2 linked regions of the Struthio camelus genome follow. The protein of the gene in region 2 purifies or fractionates together with the protein of the main gene of each other region. This does not show direct contact. Links are inferred from orthologs where the notes say so. Each region holds a gene or a part of one and is shown on either strand. Other genes may lie near its edges.

Region 1 (7,371 bases), on a different chromosome or scaffold from region 2:
CGCTTTGGGGGGGGGCCCCGGTTTGGGGGGGGCCCGTCCAGGGGGGCCTGTGGCGGGTCCCTGGAGGGGGTCCCAGTTTGGGGGAGTTTCTGGGGGGGTTCCCCAATTTGGGGGGTTCTGTGGTTTTGGGGGACTTCTCGGTTTGGGGAAGGTCCCTGTTTTGGGGGGTCCCCAGGGGGTGTTCCTGGTTTGGGGGGGTCTCTGATTTTGGGGAAGTCTCGGGGGGGGTTCCCCAATTTGGGAGGGTTCTGTGGTTTTGGGGGACTTCCTGGTTTGGGGGAGGTCCTTGTTTTGGGGGGGTCCCTGGGGAGCCCAGTTTGGGGGTCCCTGGATTTGGGAGGGGCCTATCTGGGGGGCTCCTGGAGGAGGTTCTCGGTTTAGGGGGATCCCTGGTTTTGGGGGGGGGGTCCCTGGGGGTTTGCAGTTCAAGGGGGTCCCTGGTTTTGGGGGGGGTCCCTGGGGGGATTCCCAGTTTTGGGGGGGGTCCCTGATTTTGGGGGAGAGGTCCCTAGTGGAGGGGGTACATGATTTTAGGGGAGTGGTCCCTGTTTTGAAGGGCTCCCTGATCTGGGGGGGGGGGCGGTCTGGTTTTTTGGGGGGTAGGTCCCAACTCAGGGAAGGGGGGTGTCCCCAGTTGGGGGGGTCCCTGATTTTGGGGGTCCGCTGACGGCGGCCCTGCAGGGCTGCCGGGGCCCCCCCCGGCCACCGCCGAGGACGAGGAAGCCGCCGCCGAAGGCCTCCCGGGGGGGGGCTTCGCCCTGGGGCCCTGAAGGGGGCCCGGCCCCCCCCCCAAAAAAAACACCCACCCTGGGGGGGTCCCCGACCCCCCCATCCCCATCCGGGACCACCCGGGCCCCCCCTCTCCCAAACCCCGGGCACCCCCCCCCACTTTTATACTCCTCTTTCGTATGATCCCCTTTTATACCGGCTTCCCCCCAACTCCCCGGCGTGGGGCCCTCGTGCGAAGGACGCCCTCGTGCAAGATCACGGCCCTTGTGCGAGAGCCACGTGCAAGAGCCGCCCTCAAGTGAGATCATGGCCCTCGTGTGAAAGCCTCGGGCGAGAGACGCCCTCGTGCAAGAGCATGGTCCTCGTGCGAGAGCTTCGTGCAACAGACACCCTCATGCGAGAGCACGGTCCTCCTGCAAAAGCCTCAGGCAAGGGATGCCCTCGTGCAAGATCTCAGCCCTCGTGCGAGAGCCTCGGGTGAGAGCCACCCTCATGCGAGAGCATGGCCCTCGTGCAAAAGCCTCGGGTGAGAGACGCCCACGTGCAAGATCACAGTCCTTGTGTAAAAGCTTCGTGCAAGAGCCGCCCTGATGCGAGAGCACGGTCCTCGTGCTAGAGCCTCAAATGAGAGATGCCCTTGTGCAAGATCACGGCCCTTGTGTGAGAGCTTTGTGCGAGAGACACCCTGATGCAAGAGCATAGTCCTCCTGCGAAGGACACCCTCGTGCAAGAGCTGCCCGGGTGCAAGATCACGGCCCTCGTGCGAGAGCCCCTGGCGAGAGCCGCCCTCGCACAAGATCACTTCCCTCGTGTGAAAGCCTTGTGCAAGAGCCCCCCCTTCCTGTGCCAGCTGCCCTCGTGCGAGAGCTCCCCCTCACTGGTGCAAGAGCCTCGGGCAAGAGCCCGTTGTATGAGGACCATGTGTGAGAGCCGCCCTCGTGCAAGATGGCTGCCCTCGTGCAAGATGGCCACCCTCATGCAAGAACCGCCCGGAAGACCCACCCCTGGGGTGAGAGTCTTGTGAAGCCTCCCCCCTCAACCCTGGTGCTACGGCCACGCACGAGCACCGTCCTCGTGCAAGAGCCTCATGAGAGAGACGCCCTCGTGCGAGAGCATGGTCCTTATGCTAGAGCCTCGTGCAAGAGACGCCCTTGTGCAAGATCACGGCCCTCGTGTGAGAGCCTCGTGTGAGAGATCCTCATGCGAGAGCACGTTCCTCCTGCGAAGGATGCCCTCGTGCAAGAGCTGCCCGGGTGCAAGATCACAGTCCTCGTGTGAGAGCCCCAGGCGAGAGATGCCCTCATGCAAGATCATTTCCCTCGTGCAAAAGCCTCGTGCAAGAGCCGCCCCTTCCTGTGCCAGCTGCCCTCGTGCGAGAGCTCCCCCCTCCCCAGTGCAAGCGCCTCGGGCAAGAGCTCCCACCTCGTGCCAGAGCCTCATGCAAGAGCCCGTTGTATGAGGACCACATGCGAGAGCCACCCTTGTGCAAGATGGCTGCCCTCGTGCAAGATGGCTGTCCTCGTGCAAAACTGCCCAGAAGACCCACCCCTGGGGCGAGAGTGTCATGAAACCTCCCCCCTCAACCCTGGTGCTACGGCTATGCACGATCGCCATCCTCATGCAAGAGCCTTGTGTGAGAGCTGCCCCCTCGCCACCGCAAGATCCTCACCCTCGTGCGAGGGCCTCGTGCAAGAACCCCCTCCGGGGGAGCCCCGTGGCCTAGGGCACGACGACTCCCTTCGCGCCCGCCACCCTAGTGCAAGCGCCTGCCCTCGTGCGAGTCAGCTGCCATGGCGCGAATGAGCCCTCCCCGCTACCTGCCGGGAGACGTCTGCCCTCGTGCGAGAGTCCGGCCCTTGTGTGAGTCCCTCCTCGTGCAAGATTGCAGCCGTCGTGCGAAACCCCCTCGTGTAAGAGTCCGCCCATCATGCAAGCCCCTCTTGTACAAGAGTGCAGCCCTCGTGCAAGACCCCCTCGTGCGAGAGTTCACCCATTTTGTGAGACCCCTTTGTGCGAGAATCTGGCCGTCGTGCGAGAGTCCGGCTGTCGTGCGAGAACCTGGCCCTCATGTGAGCCCCCCTCGTGTGAGAGCGTGGTCCTCATGCGAGATGCCCTCGTGCGAAAGTTCAGCCCTCGGGCGAGTCCCTCCTCGTGCAAGAGTCCACCCATCATCTGAGAACCCCCTCGTGCGAGAGCCTGGCCCTCACGTGAACCCCACTTGTGCAAGAGTCGAGCCCTCGTGCAAGAGACTGGCCCTCGTGCGAGACCCCTTCATATGGGAGCCCGGCCCTCATGCAAGACCGACTTGCGCGAGACTTCAGTGCTTGTGCGAGCCCCTCCTCGTGCGAGAGCCCACCCCTCGTGCGAGAGCCCCCCTCGTGCAACCACCCCCCCACCCCAGGGGGCCCCGGCGTGGCAGGAGGCTGGGGGCTCCGGCCCCGCCGCTGCACCCACACGCACAGCCCGGGGCGCCCTCGTGTGCCGCTCGCACGCCCGGCGCCTCCCCGCCTGCCTCGCACGCGCTTGTGCACACCCGCCGCTACGCGAACCCCCTCCCTCCCCCCTCCAACCCCCGCACAGGCGGACGGGACGCGGGGACACACGTGCGCACACAACACGGAGACCCGGGCCAGGTTGCATGCCCCCGCGCACGGGACGCCCCGAGGACCCCCAGCCGCCTGTCTCCGGCTGTAGGCGGAGCCGCGGCCGCCTGTACCTGCCGCTCGCTCGCGCCATAAACCGCTCTGGCAACGCAATGGCTCGGCCTCTGGTACGCGGCGGGGGGGACGCACAGGTGGGGGGGACACGCGGGTCGGGGGACACGCCGGGGGGACAGCAGGGGACACAGGAGGAGCCACACGGCGCTGCAGGTGCTCAGAGGCCCCATGGTGGCCCTAGGCCATGGGCATGGCCGCTCTGGCCCCTCTTCTTGCCATTCTATGGTAAGCCTGGGGGGGGGCCAACCTGCCACAGGCCTGGCTGCTCTGGCCCCTCTTGTTGCCACTCTATGGCGGGCAGCAGCCCCATTCCCCCCCCCCCCCACTGCAGACATAGCCGCTCTGTCCCCTTTTCTTACTGCTCTATGGTGGGCAGTGGCTCCATTTCCCCCCCCCATTGTGGGCCTGGCTGCTCTGGTCCCTCTTGGTGCCACTCTATGGTGGGTGGTGACCCCATTTCCCCCCCTCCCACCACGGCTGCCCTAGGTTGCAGGCCTGGCCACTCTGGCTCCTCTTGGCGCTACTCTATGGTGAGCAGCGGCTCTAGGCCGCGGGCCTGGCCGCTCTAGCCACTCTTGGTGCCGCTCTATGGTGGGCGGCAGCCCCACCCCCTGCCACAGCCCTAGGCCGCAGGCCTGGCCGCTCTGGCCCCTCTTGGCGCCGCTCTATGGCGAGCGGCGGCTGTAACCTGGCCGCTCTGGCCCCTCTTGACGCCGCTCTATAGCGAGCAGCCGCTCTAGGCCGCGGGCCTGGCCGCTCTGGCCCCTCTTGGCGCCGCTCTATGGCGAGCGGCGGCCCCGCCCCCCCCAGCGACGCCTTCGCCGCGCGCCTCGGCGCGGCCCCGCCCCCTCCTCCCCTCCCCTCCCCTCGCGCCGCTTTTGCGACAGCGGGCGGCGGCGCGGGGCGGCGGCGGCGGGGTCGCGGCGTTGCTAAGGGGCGCTTTACGGCGCGGCCATGGCGGAGGGGGAGCGGGCGGAGAGCGGTGGCCCCGGGCGGCCCCCGAGCCCCGGCGCGCTGGAGCGGGCCGAGGCGCTGAAGGCGCGGGCCAACGAGTACTTCAAAGGTAGCGGCTGCCCCCCGGGGGGGCCGGCGGGGTGCCGGAGAGGGAGCCATGTGGGGGGGGACGGAGGGGAGGGGGTGCCAGATAGGGAGCCATGGAGGGAGGACATAGGGAAGGGGCTGCCAAATAGGGAGCTAGGTCGGGGCGGGTATGGGGGGTGCCAGATAGGGAGCCATGAGGGGGAGCATAGGGAAGGGGCTGCCAGATAGGGAGCCGGGGGGAGGGGGGACATGAGGGGTGCCAGATAGGGAGCTACGTGAGGGGATATGGGGAGGGGGTGCCACATGGGGAGCGGGGGGGGGCATGGGCGTGCCAGATAGGGAGCCATGGTGGGGGGGGGGGATGAGAGGGGACAAATAGGGGGCTGGAGCAGGGGGGAAGAGGTGCCAGATAAGGAGCCATGTGGGAAGGGTACAGGGGAAGGGGTGCCACATAGGGAGCCGGGGGGGCTGCCAAATAGGGAGCTGAGGGAAGTGCCAGATAGAGAGCCATGATGGGGGGATCGGGGAGGGGGCTGCTGCCAGATAGGGAGCCATGGAGGGGCAATTAGGGGTGCGACCTGCTGCCAAATAGGGGGGGATGTGTTCAGGCTGGGTTTTGGGGCGATTCCTGGAGGTTTTGGGGGTCCCTCGGGGTTTGGGGTGGTCAAGGTGGTTTGGGGGAGGGGGATCCCCAGGGTTTTGGGGTGGATCGCTGTGGGTTTGGGGGGCTCAGGCTGGGTTTGAGGGGGATCCCTGGGGTTTTGGGCTGAATCCCTGCAGGTTTGGGTGGCTCAGGCTGGTTTTGGGTGGGGGTGACCCCCATGATTTGGGGGGGATTCCTGTGGGTTTGGAGGTCCCCATGGTTTTGGGCTGGATCCTGGCAGATTTGGGTGGCTCCAGGCTGGGTTTGAGGGGAATCCCTGTGGTTTTGGGCTGTATCCTTGCAAGTTTGGGTGGCTTTGAGTGGGGGTGACCCCCATGGTTTTGGGGTGGATTCCTGTGGGTTTGGGGAGCTCAGGCTGGGTTTAGAGTAAATTGCTGTGGTTTTGGGCTGGATCCTGGTAGATTTGGGTGGCTCAGGCCAAGTTTGAGGGGAATCCCCATGGTTTTGGGCTGGATCCTGGCAGATTTGAGTGGTTCAGGCCAGATTTGAGGGGGATCCCCATGATTTTGGGCTGGATCCCAGCAGATTTGGGTGGCTCAAGCCAAGTTTGGAGGAGGCTCCCCACGGTTCGGGTGGTGGTGGGGTGGGGGGAGTTCCCCGTCGTTGGGGCCGGCTCCCGGGGAGGATCGCCGCCTTTTTTGGGGGCGCTCCCCGCCGTTTTCGGGGGCGGCGGCTGAGGCCCCGGCGGGGGGGGGGTGGTCGCGCAGCGAAGGACTACGAGAACGCGGTCAAGTACTACAGCCAGGCCATCGAGCTGTGTCCCACCAACGCCATCTACTATGGGAACCGGAGCCTGGCCCACCTGCGGGCCGAGAGCTACGGCTACGCCCTGGCCGACGCCACGCGGGCCCTCGAGCTCGACGCCGCCTACGTCAAGGGCTACTACCGGCGCGCCGCCAGCAACATGGCCCTGGGCAAGTTCAAGGCCGCCCTGCGCGACTACGAAACGGTGAGGGCTGGCCCCGGCCCCCCGGGGTGTCAGTTGTGTTTAGGGAGCGCTGCTGTAGTCCTCTGGGGTGTCACTGCGTGCCTCCAGCCGTGTCTGGGGACCCCGTGTCATCCTCTGGGGTGTCACTGCGTCCCTACAGCTGTGGTTAGGGACCCTATGTCGTCCTCTGGGGTGTCACTGCCTCCCTATAGCTGTGTTTGGGGTCCCCGTGTCATCCTCTGAGGCGTCGCTGCATGCTTACAACCACGGTTAGGGACCCTGTGTCGTCCTCCAAGGTGTCGCTGTGTGCCTACAACCGTAGTTAGGGACCCCATGTTGTTCTCCAGAGTGTCACTGCGTGCCTACAGCCGTGTTTGGGGACCCTGTGTCGTCCTTTGAGGTGTCACTGCGTCCCTACAGCCGTGTCTGGGGACCCCGTGTCATCCTCTGGGGTGTCACTGCATCCCTACAACCATGGTTAGGGACCCCATGTTGTCCTCTGGGGTGTCACTGCGTCTCTACAACCGTAGTTAGGGACCCTACATCGTCCTCTGAGGTGTCACTGCGTCCCTACAGCTGTGTTTGGGGACCGTGCGTCATCCTCCGAGGTGTCACTTTGTCCCTATAGCTGTGGTTAGGCACCCCGCGTCGTCCTCTGAGGTGTCATCGCATCCTGACAGCCGTGTTTAGGGACCCTACGTTGTCTTCCGGGTTGTCATTGCGTCCCTACAACCGTGGTTAGGTACCCTGCGTCATCCTCCGAGGTGTCACCATGTCCCTACAGCTGTGTTTGGGGACCCCATGTTGTCCTGTGGGATGTCACCGTGTCCCTGCAGCTGTGGTTAGGGACCCTGCATCACCCTGTGGGGTGTCACCGCATCCCTATAGCTGTGGTTAGGGACCCTGTGTCGTCCTCTGGGGTGTCACTGCATCCTGACAGCTGTGGTTAGGGACCCTGTGTCGTCCTCCGGGGAGGTCATTGTGCCCCAGGAGCTGTGTTTAAGGACCCTATGTCACTCTCTGAGATGTCACCGTGTCCCTAGAACTGTTTAAGAACTCTGTATTGGTCGCTAGGGCGTCACCATGTCCCTACAGCCGTGTTTAGGGACCCTATGTTATTTTCTGGGGTGTCACCACATCTCCGCGGCCGTGTTTAGGGACCCCACATCGTCCTCTGAGGTGTCACTGCGTCCCTACAGCCGTGTTTGAGGACCCCACGTCACTCTATGGAGCACCGTCCTGTCCTTATGAACATGTTTGGGGAGCCGGTGTCACCCTCCCACGTGTCACTG
Region 2 (7,925 bases):
ATTTACAGCACTTCCAAAAATCTTAATGAACTGCCCTAGAGCTGAAGGAATCTCACATGCATCTCTGCTACAGAAAGAAGCAACAGAGACCAAAGAAAGTGTACCAGAATCATAATTCATGCTTACAACACTAAACATATGCTGCCTCCCTAAATATTTGGTACTTCCCACTTTAAACATGCCTACTGTATCACATTGAAACTATGCACAAGTCTCACAGAAACCAGCTGCCTTTTTTTTTTTTTTAAATTAAATCTTCCATCCACTACCTCTCAAAGAGGTAACGGAAACCTTCCTTTTGGCCCTTTGGCCCTCTCATGAGAGGCTGGTAGCCGTGATTTCATCATTCTAATGTATCCTGCATTGTTGTTTTAAACTACCGGCAAAAATTTTGGATGCGACCTAACGCTGTCTTATCTAATTCGTACTGCATGCCTACATTTTGAGACTCCTAGGAGACAAAAGGACACACAAAAGCCAATGGTAAGATGCGCACGTGCTCTGAGCACTTAAGAAACATGGCTCCCCTACACCCACACTAAACCATGATCTATTTTCTTACAGGCTCTGAGAAACAGTATCAAAGACTTCTAAGCATAGTCATTTGTTGCACTGAGAGCCTAACACCTCCTCCTCCTCTCTCAACTAAAGTAATCCCAGGGGACCAGACTATATTAATTTAACATTACTTCAGCCTTATGTCAACAGCGTCGTCAACTTGAGCATGTGCTTGAGATATGCCTTATCCTCAAGTCCTAATGGGATTTAGATCTGTATGAAACATAAATTAAACACGTTATATCCCATGTAGCAACAAAACACATCTCAAATAGCTTTAAAAGCAGAGTTTTTCTGGCCTTGCACTACCACCTGGGCCATACAGGTCGCCTGCATTTCACATTCTGCAAAGATTCCTTTTTTTCAAAGCCTTGCTTGCCACCATGTGCATGTTTTGACAGCTTCCTGAACAGATACGGCCACTCTGCATCAGTTTTAAACTAACATTTCTAGTCTTTTTCTAATTGTTTTCAGAAGACAAGATGACAATAGCATGCCTGTTAAGCAGGCACGCTTAGCCTGGGTAAATTCCAAGATGAAAATAGCAACATAATGCTTGCCCTGCAACTCCCCTACTTATCAGTAGGCATTTTTATTAAAATATATTATATACTGCAACTGAAGACTGCACTTTATCGTGCAGCTAAGAATTCCTGTGAAATCAATTCTAGAAACCACATTACAGCAGTTTCCCTCTGATGGGAGACCTGCAAGCTTGACTTTCTCTATGAGATCACGCTGGATAATCACTGTGGCTCTGCAGCAGGCTACCCAGAACTCTAAAGGCTGCAGTTTGGTGCAGACATCCAGGTTCTTCTACTTAAAGAAAGCCATAGTAGTTTCCTCAAGTTTCTTATATCCAGTATCTACAAGCTGAATCTCAAGTCTTATTGTTTGCTATGTGGTACGATTCAAGAAGTTCCCACTTTCAATCCCTAATCCAAACCTGTCCCTGTGCTTTCTTTCTTGATCACTCCTTGGTTTACCTATGGAAAGTTTAGCTTTCTTTAATGGAAAGTAGAAAGTATTCTAACAATTCTTACATCTCTAGAGACCGCAACGTTTGAGGACACTGCAAAAGTCATCTGTTGAATAAGATTTTTTTGCCCCCAGACATGATTATGAGGAAAAAACATTCAGGTCTATGGACAGCAATGAGAAGTTTGCTTTACATAATTAATCTTGATTTTTATTTTTTAACACCTTCAGGCTATAAAGCTAGACAATTCTAAGCCAGATGCAGTAATACTGTTGTTTCAAGATGATGTATTCTTGAGACTTTAAACAAAATCCACGTTATTACATTCCTCTCACTTTCAATCACGTTAAGCTGAAGAAGCTCAAAATGCAGAGTTTCGGGACAGCTGCACAGAAGTAAATGCCTTACCGGTGCCAGAGGGCAAAACCCAACTAGCCATGCAGGTCGTTTTCCTGAGTAGCTGTTCACGGGTTTTCCTCACTACTTGAGAAAGCAGTTACCATCCTCAGGCATTTAAGTCAATACAGAGTTTTAAGAGAACTTTAAGTTTTCAGCAAATAAAGCTCCTGTTAACTTCAGTGGGTAGTTTTCCTTCAGATTTTGCTCTGAAGGGCCAGCAGCACACGATCGTTATGAATACGCTGCAAAGTTTCGCTACTCTTCCACTTGCATTGCCAGAGAACAGCGATGCCAACTGTAACTACGTTGCAAAGAGCATGCCCTGGTTTCGGGTCAGCGAAGCAGCCTCGACAGTTACAACGAAGCCGGCTAATCAGGACTCCCCAGCGTGCCACAAGCGTTCTTGTAACGTCAGAGCACTTCAGGCTTCCGCGGAGCCGCCAGGGCGCACAGGAGGCCGCACGGGAGCCGGCGGGAGAGGAAATCCGGCCGGCCACCTCCTGCCCTTGGCTCCGGCCCCCGCGCCGCCTGCTCGCGGCGGACCGCTCCCGGGGCCCCGCCGCTCCCCTGCGCCCACCGCCGGCCCCTACCGGGAGCCGCAGCCGAGGCGCCGGCCGGGGCAGGGCCGCAGGCCCCGCCGCCCCACGCGGCCCCATTCATTGCCCGCCCGCCAGGGCCCCCCCCGGCGCCGCCAGCGGCAGCGGGCGCCCCCCGGGCCGCCGCCGCCGCCACAAGGTCACCACGCGCCGCCGCCCCCCCCCCGCCTCGGCAGGGCCGAGCGGGCCCGGCCGCCGCGGCAGAGCGCCCCGCCGCCGCCGCCTTCCCCCCGCCCCCCCGCTGCCCGGCCTCACATGGCGAACGGCGGCGGCTCCGCTGGCGCTCCTCGGGGCCCGGCGGCGGGCGGCGGCGGCACGGCGCGGGCGGCAAGGGCCGTGGCGGCGGCGAGGGCGCGGCGGCGGCGGCTCCTGGGGCTCGGCGCGGCCTCGCTCCCACAATGCCCCGCGCGCGCACTCCGGCAACGGCGGCGCCCAGGCGCTGGTGACGCAGCAAAATACCCGCCGCGCCGCGCCCGCCTCCCGCCTCCCGCCTCCCGCCTCCCGCCTCCCGCCGCCGCGCATGCGCGGGCCCCGCCGCCGCCGCCCGCGCCCCGCTCCCTCCTCCCTTCTAGCAGCTTCTCGGCGCGCAGGCGCGCTGCGGGCCCGCCCGAGGTGGGAGGAGGAGGGGGCGGGGCCGGCGTTGCCAGGGCGACGGGCGGCCGGGCCCGGCGGCCGCGCAGCCCACGCGTGGCGGCGGCGGCGCGCCGCCGTTTCCCGTCGCTCGGGCGGCTACCGCGGCTTGAGGGCCACCGCAGGCAGCAAACTCGCGGCCACCAGAGCTGCCTCGCCCCGCGCCGGGCCGGGCGGAGGACGCCCGGGGGAGCGGGGGTCGCCGAGGCCTGGCCCCCCGCAGGCCCCTCTGCGGCCTCCGAGTGCCACCTCCGGGGCTCGAAGCGGCTTTGAACTCCCATCGCCGCTCCCTGGGCCAGTGGCTCTCCGGCCTCTCCGTTAAAACTGCTGAAGGCGGCTCCCCGAGCCGCTCCTCCGATCGGTGTTCCTCAAGCGCGGCGGCTGCATCCGTCCCTCGCGGGCCCGGTGCCGGTGCCTCCTCCGAGGCTCCGGCCGGAGCTGGAGCCCTGCCGGCGCGTGCTGCCGGGGGCAGCTGCGACCGAGCGAAGCATCGCGCGATATTCGCCAGCGTTCAGGCACCGGGGAACCGCACGGAAGGGTAACGAAGGGCTTCTGGCTAGCGAACCTCCTGCTTATTTCATCTGGGGCTTCGTGCTGGCTGCCCGTACGGTGAGGTCGCCAATCAGCTTTAATGAGCTGTTCCAAGGCCCAGATTTTACTGCACAAGGGAGAAAGAAATGCTGCTAAGTGGCAGCAAGATGCCCATTTTCACAGCTCAGCCTCTGCATTTCATGAGACTTGGGGCTTTAGGTGGGTAAATGTCAGCTCGCTTCCCACCCGTCGAGTGCTGAAAGACTCCCTCTGCACGCAAACAACTTTCTGGGTAAGCACAGCCTTCCCTGCAGGCCTGGAGAGCAGGAGAAAAAACAATCAAAGCTCAGCCCCTTCTACTGCTCTGCTGTGCTGTACCACTCAAATTCCAGCAAAGTGGCACTTCAAAAACGGTAGGACTTATTGTTTGTTGACGCTCGGCCCACCAGGGCCCCAGCCTGGCTGATGCCATCGGGCAACGCGCTGTGAACGCGAACAACCAACAACGTGGGCAGGCAATCATCTCTGCTGGGGTGGGCGGCACAGCAAGGCGGTCGGTAAGGAGCCGCTGCCAAGGAAGACAGGTCTACGGCAGCAGAGGGAAGAAAGGGAAGCTGTCAGCGCCAAAGCAGCCATCTCCCATGACTTCTGGGCACCTCTAGCTGTTGCAAAGCTCTGGGTTCAAGAACCTGGATGAGTCTTGACCTTCTCTCAAATCAGGCTGGAAGACATGACGAGATAAACTAATCCATCCCTGTCCCATGGCTGCACTGAATTAAATGAGAAGAACCCCCTTTTCACTATTCTGCAGATCATTTCTTTTTCTTTAAAACCATTGTGGTTTCCTGGGCTGAGATAGAGACTCGCTACTGGGAGCATCACAGCTGCGCTCTCACAGAAGAGCACCGTCCGGAACGCTCCTGGGTGATGCGACACCCTTCAGCAGACGTCTCACCTGTAGATTTGAGACCTCCCGCTAGCTTCAGAGGGAGACGGTCTGTGCTAAGATCAGCGTCCCAGGCACACGTTGAAGTCGGAGGCCTTGGCTGGCCTTCCTGGGGCTCCCAGCCAGCCGACCTTTGGCGACAGGAAGGAAATGAGGGAACGAGCAGGTGTTCTTCCTCTACGGTGTAACAGGACAGAGAATATCAGGTTTTGAGATCTTCCCAGGATGAAGGCTCCACCCTGGGGCCTCAGCTACCAGGGAGGGAAAGGCAGCAAAGCCAAAAAAGAACAAAAAATGTTTCACCAACAATAAGCCACAACTTTTATTAATTGATAGAAATAGTACAAATTTTAAATGTAGTTGCATTTTACTCTTCTCTGAAACACCAAAAAAGGCTCCTCCCTCCTGACGGCTACATCGTCAATTCCTGCAAAGAGAAAGACCTGTTAGGATCCAGCCTTGCCCACCGGCACAGAAGCCTGGCTCCGGACACGTGGAGTACTCCTTAGGGAAGACAAGCCTCTGCGGCTCGTCTGCCCAGCAAGGCCCGGGACAGGTCATTTCGCTTCCTGGCCTTCCAGCTGGGAGCAAGCTACTGTGCCAGAGTGTGGAGGTACCTGATATCCCAAACAGATACATGGGGTGCAGACGGAAGGAAACAAAGTCCCTCCACTTTGCATCACGTGACCCCCAAATTCATCCCCTACTTGCAGCAACAGAGAAACAAGCACCACATGTCTCCTCCACAGGGAAGTTTCATTTCTAACCGCTATGGGTCTTCCCAGGCTCAAGGCTCGCTTGACTGGCTGGAAATGCCACTGCAGGCAGGCACTTACCATTATAGCATTTACAATATCGTTACTGTTGTTCTTCAGGGCACGGACTGCCTTTGCTCGGGACACGTTCGCCTGGGACATGACCAGCTCAATATCTTTCACCTCAACGCCGGTTTCGTCAACCTGAGGAGACAGAGACCAGGATTGTCTCCAGCTGAACACACGGCCTGCTCCACGCCCAGCAAAGAAAAACGGAATTGTCTGGATTGGGGCAGCTCCCAGTCAAGCCAAAGACAGAAGCTGGGATGCAAGACTGGGCGCTATCTAGCCCTGTAGACAGTCTTCTGATAGCGAATGGGACCAGGTCCTCCAGGGGAAGGACCCTGCACTTCCTTTTGTCATCAAGCCAAACATTCAGAGGCGGGAAAGAAAAGCATGTGTCATAACGCAAAGCTCTAGATGTGACACAGAGTGGCAGGGAAGGGGGCTCGGGCAGAAAGAGTAGCTGATACGGCAATCCTGTAAGAGCAAAAGCAACAGGCAGGGGAGGAAGGGTCTTCGGAGAGCAGAGCTACGATCCATGCAGCAAAGGCAGAGCACAACAGCCTGGTAGGGAACTGCCCTGGTGGAGGGTGAATCCAGCTCTTGCTCTTTAGAGCTCTCTGGACCACCTCCAGCCCAGGCCGAGGCGATACACGGGTCAAGCAGACAAATGACCACACCGAGGTTACAGCCTGGGAACCCCCACCCTGGCCAGGGCTGCCAGGCAGGCGGCGTGGCGTGGCGTGGCGCGGCACACCGTGGGGAGGGAGAACCCCTCGGAGCAGCACGCTCCACTTAGCATGAATGCACATTAACACAATGAGGCCCTTCAGCTCAGTGGCCGGGTTTCGCATTTTGGTTCAATTCCCAAACAAAGCACCCTGCCTCGCTGCAGACAGCCTGGGGAAGGCATACCTCTTCCTCCTCGCTCTCCTCCTGCACGGTGGGGGTCTGTGTGTTTTCCTGGATGTTTGAAACAGCTTCTCCTTGCACTTTGAACTTTTCGGCAGCTGCCAGCTGGGCCTGCTGGGACAGGTCCTCGATCTGGGGAAGAGAAGCAGCACAAGTGAGGCCAGCCCTACGCAGAGTGGGATGTCAGCACACAGGCTCAGACAGTCACAGCTGTGTTCCTCACTCTGCTGAGGTGCCAGCACATTAAATAGCTCTGTTGCACAACCGAGCTGGGAAGCCAGCCGTCAGTGAAGGCTGGGGCCTGCCCACACCTCTCTAGGGGCATGCGCAGCAGCAGGGATCCAGCCAGTTGCAGCCAGTGTTTGCAGGTGACAAGGATGAACCCTGCTACCTCAGAGCTGCCACCCCGCTGCTGTGAATACAGATTAACATGGCTGCCAGGCACGACGTAGAGTCAACACACCTTCGCTTCGCCGAAGACGATGTAGGTGTCTGACGCTGGGCTCTTGTACACGTCTGGCTTTGTGATGACAAAGAGGATGTTCTTAGATTTCCGAATGGTGACTCTGGTTACTCCTGTGACCTGGCGAAGGCCCAGTTTAGACATTGCCTTAAAAAAAAAAAAAAGAGAGAAAAAAGAATGAGAGAAAGAAAAGTTAGTGAGACGGCCCAGCCCAGGACAAGATGCGCATGCTCATCTGCTCTCTGGAGATCAGGGTCCAACAATTGGTGCGCTCATGTGAATGAAAATGTGCATTTTACTGCTGCAGACAAGCATTCAAAGGCTTTTAGACTGACACTGCTGAGTGCCCGGGAGGGAACTTTCTATTCCCAGCACTGGCACAGATCCACAGCATGACCTCGAGCCACTCCAGGCACAAGGATTTTTTTCCCGTGGAAGGGGGGCATTCCCCTGCCTGGGGGCCTGACCAAGACAGAAAATCACACCATCATTTCTCAGCTCCAGAAAGCCCTGCTGCTATAGTACAAGGGTAGAGCATGAGGAGGAGCAATCCTGAGCAGGGTTCATCAGATGAACTCCCAAGCACTCAAGAGATACTGTGCCACATTCTGAAGTAAAGCTCAGCTCATCCATGGGCAGGCTGTTGGCTGTATATGGATTTGGTCCCTTTCCCATCCCATCTTACCTTTCGTGCTTTCTTTTCACTCCGACTCTGTTTTGCTTTGCTAACGGGTTCTTCATCTATTTCAGCTGCTGCTGCAAGCTGCAAGGACAGAAAACAAGAGGGCCCTTAGACAGCTCTGAGCAGGTGATGCATGTAGCAGATGACAGCATCTGAGGGGATCCTGCTTTGGCCACTGCTGGGCACAGGGAGACCAATGGGACCTGTTCTCTGACCAACAGCGAGGCAAGGAAAAATAGAAATAGAAGAATAGTCCTTTCTGTGAAGGCTCTCCAACCACCATTCCCTGGTGTGAGCTACTCAAGATGGGGGTGGCCTGAGGGACCCTCAGGTGATTCTGAGGAGCAATTTCCCAGAAGGGCATCCCCCTGCACACGTTATGCCCACCAAAATCCACTGCTGAGCTTGGGG

Evidence for each region.
Region 1: the proteins of PTGES3 (region 2) and PPP5C purify together in Homo sapiens (affinity purification with mass spectrometry; 5 studies listed by BioGRID and IntAct, with this or other methods). This does not show direct contact. The link is inferred for Struthio camelus from reciprocal best matches to the Homo sapiens genes PTGES3 and PPP5C.

The regions. Positions count from the first base shown.
Region 1 is NC_090957.1:1,971,088-1,978,458, reverse strand, and holds the start of PPP5C (serine/threonine-protein phosphatase 5), read left to right. Parts: upstream 1-4,362; 5' UTR 4,363-4,400; coding exon 4,401-4,509; intron 4,510-5,858; coding exon 5,859-6,100; intron 6,101-7,371. UniProt on the Homo sapiens protein: Serine/threonine-protein phosphatase that dephosphorylates a myriad of proteins involved in different signaling pathways including the kinases CSNK1E, ASK1/MAP3K5, PRKDC and RAF1, the nuclear receptors NR3C1, PPARG, ESR1 and ESR2, SMAD proteins and TAU/MAPT.
Region 2 is NC_090969.1:379,057-386,981, reverse strand, and holds the start of PTGES3 (prostaglandin E synthase 3), read right to left. Parts: upstream 3,019-7,925; 5' UTR 2,790-3,018; coding exon 2,788-2,789; intron 1-2,787. Other genes in the region: nascent polypeptide-associated complex subunit alpha, read right to left, coding at 5,052-5,066, 5,476-5,598, 6,373-6,501, 6,833-6,979, 7,518-7,595. UniProt on the Homo sapiens protein: Cytosolic prostaglandin synthase that catalyzes the oxidoreduction of prostaglandin endoperoxide H2 (PGH2) to prostaglandin E2 (PGE2).